Daphnia pulex: one gene and its partner. The protein of the gene in region 2 purifies or fractionates together with the protein of the main gene of each other region. This does not show direct contact. Links are inferred from orthologs where the notes say so. Each region holds a gene or a part of one and is shown on either strand. Other genes may lie near its edges.

Region 1 (4,601 bases), on a different chromosome or scaffold from region 2:
TAGCTGACAATTCACCATAGGTTTATCTGAAAATGCGCTAGGTGTCTCTGATCGTTCAAGTGTTATTCAAAAACTCTTCTGCACTTTTTTTGTGAAGACCTTTTCTTTTCCTAAAGAGATTAAATTGAAATTGATTACAATGCTCAGTTTAAGGCATTTTCAGAAAATTAGAAGAATTAAGGTAATTTGGTTTATAGCTTCAAAACTGTGTTTTTCAACATTCATTTTCTGCTACTATTCAGACATGTACACAAAATTACGTAAGACGATCAGCCTCAAGCTATGGGCAAAGAAATGCTGTAGATATCGGAATTCACGGTTATTCGTTATTGGTAAGATAATCGATTTTAAAAATAAAACGTACATATAGTTCTTTAACAAAAAATTGATCCAATAAATGTAGGCTATTCCAGCCATCACTTTCGGCCTTGGGACCTGGCAGATTTTCAGACGTCAGTGGAAACTTGGTGTTATTGATCATCTTGCCAGCAGAACGTCTGCACCACCAATTCCATTTCAGTCTACAGAGTGAGACTGATACAATTCTTTAACTCTACCCTTTTATGCATATTTACACCAATGCTCTACAGTATTGAAGGGCTATCTGACATGGAATACCGGAAGTTTGAACTCCATGGAAAATTTGAACATGACAAAGAGATTTACATTGGGCCAAGATCACTGGTTGGAAATGAAAAAAATGAAGGTGGTGGGATGTTGTCTTCAGGGCAGAGTGGCTATTTAGTCATCACTCCATTTAAACTATCAGATTCCAAGTAAGACATTCAAACAGTTAATTTTCTCAATTTTCTACAAGTTACTTTTAGTCTCACAGTTCTTGTAAACCGCGGATGGATTCCTCGTAAAAAAATGAATCCATTCACCAGACTAAATGGACAAAGAGAAGGCGAAACAAAACTGATTGGAGTGTACCGCTCTAATGAAAATCGCCCCCAGTTTGTACCCCAAAATCAGCCCAAAGACCGCATGTTTCATTTCAGGTAAAGACAATTATATTTTTCGCAAAGTTAGATAACTTCATATATATTGCGTACAGAGATGTGGAGGGAATGGCTCGGCTTCTAGACACTGCGCCAATTTTCTTTGACGCGGACGCTGATAGCACAGTACCGGATGGACCTGTAGGTGGACAAACAGTTGTTACTGTTAGAAATGAACACGTTTCGTACATTTTAACGTGGTATTCATTATCAATTATCACAGCATTTTTGTGGCATCGACGATTTATCAAGAAAATGCCTCTTATGTAACTTAAATGTATTTATCTTCATAGAGGTTAAAGTCAAATTAATACATTTTAACATCAAACATCATTATATTTTTACTCTTGTTGCGTTTTCATTTGTAAAAATAAAATTTTAATTAATAAAATTCAAAATAAAAAATAAATACAGTATCGCGAGTTTCTAGTACATCGATTATTGGCTTACCCGATATAATTATCGATACTTACCTTTGTGATCGCGTTCTCGCGTCTTTTTTGCTTTGTCCCGTCGATAATCTCGGCGATCTCTGGTAATTATTTTATGAGCCTTTGAGAAATGTGATTCAGTCTGTTTGAATACTAAACAACTCGTGAATTCCCGGTTTCAAATTGTGTGTCAAGTCAGTAAAGAAAGTTTTTATTCTAATTGAAAGAAATACGCTACGCAAGCAAACTTCTCTTCCATGGCGGACGCTTGTCGCCTTGGGCATTTTATAAGACGTTGGCATTTTTATATTAACCGAAGCCAATTTTTGTTATTTACGATTGCTTTCTTGCAATACTAGTGCTTTGTTGTGTCTAGTACATTTCATTTTATGTTTACATTTCATGAAATCACATGTATGGATGTTAGTAAACGGAAAGTCATTGTTTACAGGGTCTTTATTGCCAGGTCCTGTAGCCTGAAGGCAATACGTTTTGTGCAGTGACATTGGAAGATTTCATTGCTTTTGATGGATGATCCAAATCGACTTATGCATCCTGTTCCAGGTGGCCAGGTTGGACTAATGCATCAGCCACCGTATGGGTTACCTCCTGTCAATGTCGGAGTCAATGTTGGGGTTAACATGGCTTCACTTGATGGAGGGAACCAAGACTCTGAAAATATGACTGGACGAAAGCAGGTGTGTACAATTCCATTTCCAAAATCTTTTTTTCCTTTTAAGTAAAACTTCTTTTTTTTTAGGATATTGGAGAAATTCTGCAACAGATCATGAACATCACAGACCAGAGTCTTGATGAAGCCCAAGCACGCAAGCATACCCTGAACTGTCATCGCATGAAACCTGCTTTGTTTTCTGTCTTGTGTGAAATCAAAGAGAAAACTGGTAACCCTATTTCAATATGAATCCAAGTGATTGAATGGTAACATTAAATTGTGCTCTCACTTTAGTTTTGTCGCTACGCAACACGCAAGAAGAGGAGCCTCCAGATCCGCAACTCATGCGGTTGGATAACATGTTGATTGCTGAAGGAGTAGCTGGTCCTGAAAAAGGAGGTGGGGCCGGTGCTGCTGCCAATGCATCAGCTGCAGCGTCTCAAAGCGGCTCAATGTCGGACTCGGCTATTGAACACTCTGATTATAGGGCTAAGTTGGCACAAATTCGTCAAATTTACCATCAAGAGCTTGAGAAATATGAGCAGGTACACATTTTTAGCAATGCTTATTTTTTTATTGGACCTCTATGACAAGAAAATGGAGAATAACCATTTCATTTTTACATCCGCTTTCAGGCTTGCAGTGAATTCACCACCCATGTTATGAATTTGCTCCGAGAACAATCCCGTACTCGTCCGATTACACCCAAGGAGATTGAGCGGATGGTTCAGATCATTCATCGCAAGTTTAGCTCCATCCAAATGCAGCTGAAGCAAAGCACTTGCGAGGCCGTTATGATTTTACGATCTCGTTTCCTCGACGCCAGGTAAATTTTGCTATTTTTTTAAGGTTTGACCACGCCCATTAAAGGTGTTGTTCTATCGATGTCTTCATCATGTAGGAGGAAGCGGCGTAACTTCAGCAAACAAGCTTCTGAGATCTTGAATGAGTACTTCTACTCGCACCTAAGCAACCCCTACCCAAGTGAAGAAGCCAAAGAAGAGCTCGCTCGTAAATGTGGGATCACCGTTTCACAGGTTAATTTCTTTTTAAATCCTTTTAAGAGGAATAAGCGCATTAATGTTTTGTTATTTTTACAAAAAAGGTTTCGAATTGGTTCGGTAACAAACGAATTCGTTACAAGAAAAACATTGGAAAAGCCCAAGAGGAGGCCAACCTGTATGCTGCTAAAAAGGCCGCGGGTAGTTGTTTCCACTCTGAGGATTTTCAAATCCTCGTATTACCGGAGCGATTCTAATTTTCGTACTTTTTCTTTCTCGTTAGGTTCCTCGCCATACAGTATGGCTGGAACTCCCGGACCGATGATGTCGCCTCAACCTGGTGGTCCTGAACTCAGGGGTCCACAAGATTCCTTAGGCCCGTACGGTGCTATGGGACTCAACGGTGGTGACTTTCCTTCCTCCATGGGCGGCCAAGTAAACTACTTTTAATGACTTAACTAGTGGTATCTCAGCATATTAATTAATGTAAACGTGTTTGTAGGGCTATGGCGATTCATCGATGGGTTATGATCCAAGTATGCATCAAGTGAATTCACCCTGAGGGGTGGACGAGTGCCCCTTCTCCTCCTCCACCCTATTTCTCGGCAAATCAACTCTTAATTTACTAACTTCATCAGATCTTGATCATACTGTGCGTTACAAGCTATCTTCAGCTGTTCGATTAACTCGTTCTAACCCATCTCGTACTCCTTCTTTTGTCCCTTCCTCTCAGTGCAGCTTTGTTGTTTCGTCTTGATAGAAAATGTTTCTGTGGATCACCTCGATCGGTGCTTGTTTTTTCTCATTTGTTTCAGAAACCTCTGTAGTTTTAATCGCTTTTGCGTATAGTTGAAACCGTCGATGTAGTCGTTATCGTTTTTATTTGACAACTAGAAGTGAACCGAACATCTCCGATTACAATCACGTACGCTCTCCCGTCACCGAAAAAACGATCATCAGTATTCTCGAAAATCCACATCCCACGGACCCGAGTCCTATTTCTAAAAAAACAAAAAAAACACAAGAATTCCCATCAAGTTTGCGTTTTAACTGAAAAAAAATACTTTTCTTTTGATATGGTGGTGGAACCGAATGCAATTTTTGGTATTAGAATATTTTGCAGTTCCTCCTCTGTCCTATAAAAAAAATGACTGGCGCTTTGAAGTGAAGCTCAAAATATTTCTTTCTCGTTGGTACGTTTTTATATTATTTTCCACTAATCCGTGTCTCCTTTTTAAACACTATATTCATCTGTTCACCGCGCAAATCCTTGCCATGAAATCATGTACAACCAATACATCCATTTCTAGGTGTCAACGTTCTTATTTTTTTCTCATTATTTTTTGAATGTTTTCAAATTTCAACCATCCCGAGGGTTGATGATGCAGTTCGTGTATCAGCGGCTCAGCGCCTTTCAGTGGTAGCAGATTTACATGTTGCATTTCGTGGAAGAGTGGTAGCAGACGGCAAATCTCTGACGTATTGTAGTCTGCTA
Region 2 (4,644 bases):
TATAGTTGTGATTATTTCCGCAACGCACTTTTTCGTTTTGTAACAATTTTGAACTCGACTTGACTTGACCCTTATTTTTTCCGCCCTCTTTCGACTATTTCAAATTAGAGATTGGTGAGACCGTAGTCGGGTTTAATGTTTAGAATTCCGCAATCCTGAAACGTGGGCGTCTCGTTGGATCTGGGCGGATTGGACGATTGCGAATTACCGGTGGGGGTCGGCGTGCTGGTGGTCGTTGTGTTATTGGCCGCCGTCGTGATGATGGGCACGCCGGTGGCTGTCGTCGTGACTCCGGCCGGATTGGTCTTCCGGCGAACGTTTTTCGTGTTTGGCAATTTGTTGTCCTTTTTCCACTTCATGCGCCGGTTTTGGAACCAGATTTTAATTTGGCGCTCGGACAGGCAGAGGCTGTGGGCGATTTCGATCCGACGGCGCCGCGTCAGGTAGCGATTGAAATGGAATTCTTTTTCCAGCTCGAGAATCTGGTGGCGAGTGTAGGCTGTTCGCTGTCGTTTGGGTTCCATTCCCGGCGTGAATCCTCCGTTGGCTAGGAAACCATCAGACAACGATGCTATATGAAACACAGGCAAATAGTGTGTGATACAGTTCTATTCGGAATCGTGCAGGAATTTATCTTATCACTAGAGATGTAATCAACATTTTGATTGAAAACTTTTTTTTAGGCCTAATTATGGTTTAAACAAACACATAATTGGGTCGGTAGAATCAAATTGAATTTTTTGAAGTGGTACGAAAAGGATGGCAATAACTTACGTGCTCCGGCGACGTGAATCTTTTTCATCCACGGGTAAATGACGGGATTGTGAGAGTCGTCGGACATGTCGGACCCGTCATCGCAATCGGATTCGGGGCTATTGGGCGTCGGTGGCTGGCACAATTGCAGGGCGTTATTTTGCTGCTGGATCTGCGTCTGTGTTTGCAGCTGTTGCTGCTGGCCGTTGGCCTGCTGAGCAGCCACCATAGAGCCGAGATGGGACAGCTGGTCATGCTGCATCAATGCCTGTGAAACGACACCACCACCGCCGACGACACCGTGACTCTGCTGTTGTTGTTGTTGCTGCTGTTGTAAATGACTGGAATTGAGTTGTTGCTGGTGAAGAGGTTGTTGTTGTTGCTGCTGGACGTGTTGGTGCTGAAGCTGAAGCTGCTGGTGTCCAAGGGTCTGCTGTTGTTGGGCCCCGAGCTGCTGGGACGGGCAGGTCACCATGGACGTCAACGAAGGCGTTGGCGAGGGAGCGGGCGATCGTTGAATCATTCCCGGACTCTGCTGATGTTGCTGTTGCGGCTGGTGCTGATGGTGATGGCCTAGAGTCGGGGCGACATGCCCAGTCATGGGCACTTGGACTTGCTGGCCAGTGCCAGCGATTCCGCACGCTCCGTTGGCTCCGTAGGCTCCTCCGCCGTGATATCCGCCAGCGCTGACAACCGCTCCCCCGTGACTGGGATGCTGGCCGTAATAGCCCATGGAAGCGGCCGAGGTGACGGACGACGGATGAGTTCCGTTGTGGTGGTGATGCGTGTGGTGCCCGTGGTAGCCGTGGTAGTGCTGGACTTGGTGGTGAGGCACATAGTAGTCACTGGACACGGCCGCCGGAATGTAACTGCTCTGACTGTACTCCTCACTCGGCGGGAACTTTGGGTCGACGACGTACTGCGACGACCCGGAGTTCATCAAGAACGAACTCATGGCGATCATCAATTCTACCTTCCACTGATTGACACAAGGAGATGATGATGATGATGTTGACTGGGACTCTTGTGTGTCAATACGAAATTGAGTCGTCACTATTTTTTAATTTATTTTCGTGACGAAACTAACCAATAACTCATGTGATTCGGAGGCGACGGCCACTCACTAGTAACTAACTCTGATGTCTTGTCTGTGTTTCACTCTTCACTCGATTGTCGTGTGTCCGCGCTCTTCTTGTTCCTCGCAGCCGGCCCGCGTTGCTGGTTGATGTCTTGTGCTTATAGTGCCCAGTGCCAGTGCCAGAGAGTCGATGCGGACTGGAGCAAATAACTGGCGGGGGGCTCCACCTCCCGTTGGGGGAAGGACGAGCCACGTGACCTCGGCCCTGTCGACCAATCGCCGATGTCCTCGACTTCTCTCTACGCTCTTAACTCACACGGGGTAGCGGGTGTGTCGGGGTAGGGGAGGGAGAGAGAGTGGGAGGGAACACTGGAAAAGAGGAGCCCTGGTCTGGTGGTAGTGATCCAAAAAAGAGCTTTTCCCCCAACCCGGCGCAGCCGGCGGCGGATGTGATCGATGATTTGCTCAGAGAAAGTCCTCACACACACACAAGTTGGGCACATGCGCCTCTAGCGGCTGATGTCTTCCGAAAGTGAACCCCGGGTCTTATAGTCTAAAGATCAAGCGAAATGGAAATCTTGTTGAAAGCTGAATGAATTGAAATGATTGTCGAAAAAGTTTCAATGGCGACTGCAGGGGGGCAGAAGCTTTTTGTTCCCGGTCGATTTTTTGTGTGATGAGACAGACGCAGCTGGAGCTGATTGGTTGGGTAATGAGGAGAGTAGTATTACGACCCGCTACGGGTTGATGTTTTGTTTGTTGAGAGCTTTTAGCGCGATGGTCGGTGCTGCTGCTGGTGCGCCGGCAGCGTCCGCGATGTCACACGACTTGACACACCCTCGGATGTCTTGGGCGAACATCCACTTTTTCCTCCTCTCCCTTGTCACTCTGTCAGTTGCGCTTCATTCTGACACGAATACTGCCGTGTTTGGTGTCGACACGCACCACGGATCTCTCGCTGACAATGGCAGCTGTGCACTTTTTTAACACAAAAATAGAGAGAGAGAGAGATGTCTATTTCAATTATCGTGTTTCACCTCTTGTTGTCCGTTTCACCACTACCTACTGTTTTGCCGGACCGAAAAAGGAAATGGATGGACACCGGCAAAATTTCTTCTTTTGTATTTTTGTTCACTCGTTTTTCTTTCGCTCCTATACCGCCGATGGTTAATGGATCGCTCGGACACGAGTGTTTGATGATCGAGAAAGTTTCTTTTTATTTTCTTTTTTTTTCGGCTGGTCGAGGGCTGACACTGTTCACTTCAGACCTGGTCGACGGTGAACGATCGACTAGTCCGGTTCCATGCCAGTGGAAAGAGAGTCGTCTTGGCCCGCTACCGACACCCTCGGAAGATGTTTGTGCCACTCGGTCGGATAGGGAAGAAAAATAGGGGGGTGCCACGGCGCAGCAGCAGCGCAACCCTTTTGGTGTGTGTGTGTCTTTGCTGGCCAGCGACAATTCCGGCCCCGGCAACATTGTGGCGCTAATGATGTTGGAAAGGGTGGGTGGGAGACAATTTCCACGACGATGTGGTGCATTGAGAGACAAGGTGGAGGAGCACGGAAATACACCAACGAGTCTCCTTGGAAAGTCCTTTCCGGATTTCTGTATTTTTTCTTTTTCCTGACCGAGAAACTAGGCGGGATCGGTCGGCAAACGTCATTTGTTTTCAGCTCGACTGGAAAGAACACAATCAACTCTTGTGTGTTTTTGACACTTCCGAAATAAATCTGGTTTCTTTTGGTGGGGTTTTCGGTTTTGCTATACCTATCTTTATTTTTGTTTTTCTACTTTTCCTGTTGGTTTTTTTTTATTTTTTGCGGTACTGGAAACTCACGGGCGGCACGGAAGAAAGGCTGTCCGTTCTACACCGACTGAATTCCAATTAGTGACTGAGAAACGGTGGGCCCGAGTTTGTCTATTTTCCAGCAACAACCTCCTCTATCTTTTCTAGCCGAGACTCTTATCTCTAGGCTCTTTGTCTGTTGTGTGTATGTTTCACGCGGTTATTGCCGTGTTATGCCCAGCCGCCACCTTGTTATTCTTCATCCCCCTTTCATTTTTTCTTCCCCTTTATCGTTTCTGCTTTTATCAGTTACTCATTCGATAGGCCATTTTGAATTCGAACGGGAAAACAAAAAAAGCTCGAGAGGGACGATGACGAGTTTGTCGGGGGCTTTTGGCCGATTCCACCATTTTTCGGCAACGCCTCGCATAAATTGATTCAACTTTGTTTTGGGCGTTTTTGACTTAAAAAAGACCGTCCTATTTTTTTATTAAAATCCCTTCCGTAGAAAAGTTTTCTTTTCCCCCCACTGACTGTGAATCCAGTTTTTGGCGAGATGAATAGTGCAGAACTCGCGACGTTCCTCGTCTTCCTGAGCCCAGCAACTGATGGCGGACAAATATCCACAAAAAGGGGAAAGAAAAAGAAGAAAGAAGAAGAAGAAAAAAAGAAAAGAAAGTCAGACAGAAAAGGAAAGAAGGGAAAAAAAAATAAGAGAACGAATGAAAGAAGAGGGGGGCGGCTGTATGCGTTTTCCGCTAGCGAGCGGGTTCTTAAAAAATCCAGCCGCGTCATGCGCCTGGCGTAATGATTAATGATGCCCGCGCCAATGCGCCAAAGAGGAGAGAGATAGAGAGAGAAAGAGAGAGAGAGAACCCCCCGACGCCGTTGTTGTGCCGTTTGCTTTTGCCGAGTTCTATACTACACGCACTGTGTAGCAGCACCCGATTTATCGAACCGTCCGTCTGTCCGTCTGGTGTTGTTTCTCGTTTATTTTTCAGTCAAGGGCAGACAAACGCTATGAAA

Evidence for each region. The genes of interacting proteins can lie anywhere in the genome.
Region 1: the proteins of homeotic protein deformed-like (region 2) and homeobox protein extradenticle-like fractionate together in Drosophila melanogaster (co-fractionation; 4 studies listed by BioGRID). This does not show direct contact. The link is inferred for Daphnia pulex from reciprocal best matches to the Drosophila melanogaster genes Dfd and exd.

What each region holds. Positions count from the first base shown.
Region 1 is NC_060023.1:11,355,977-11,360,577, forward strand, and holds homeobox protein extradenticle-like, read left to right. Parts: upstream 1-1,449; 5' UTR 1,450-1,536; exon of another isoform or gene 1,537-1,626; intron 1,627-1,883; 5' UTR 1,884-1,959; coding exon 1,960-2,130; intron 2,131-2,192; coding exon 2,193-2,334; intron 2,335-2,399; coding exon 2,400-2,650; intron 2,651-2,740; coding exon 2,741-2,931; intron 2,932-3,006; coding exon 3,007-3,142; intron 3,143-3,210; coding exon 3,211-3,310; intron 3,311-3,389; coding exon 3,390-3,541; intron 3,542-3,608; coding exon 3,609-3,668; 3' UTR 3,669-4,423; downstream 4,424-4,601. Other genes in the region: surfeit locus protein 1-like, read left to right, coding at 140-181, 243-332, 404-528, 591-776, 828-1,001, 1,058-1,271. UniProt on the Drosophila melanogaster protein: Transcription factor which acts with the selector homeodomain proteins altering the regulation of downstream target genes such as wingless (wg), teashirt (tsh) and decapentaplegic (dpp), thus affecting segmental identity.
Region 2 is NC_060024.1:12,446,783-12,451,426, reverse strand, and holds the start of homeotic protein deformed-like, read right to left. Parts: upstream 3,178-4,644; 5' UTR 1,718-3,177; coding exon 775-1,717; intron 572-774; coding exon 105-571; 3' UTR 1-104. UniProt on the Drosophila melanogaster protein: Sequence-specific transcription factor which is part of a developmental regulatory system that provides cells with specific positional identities on the anterior-posterior axis. Homeotic protein controlling Drosophila head development.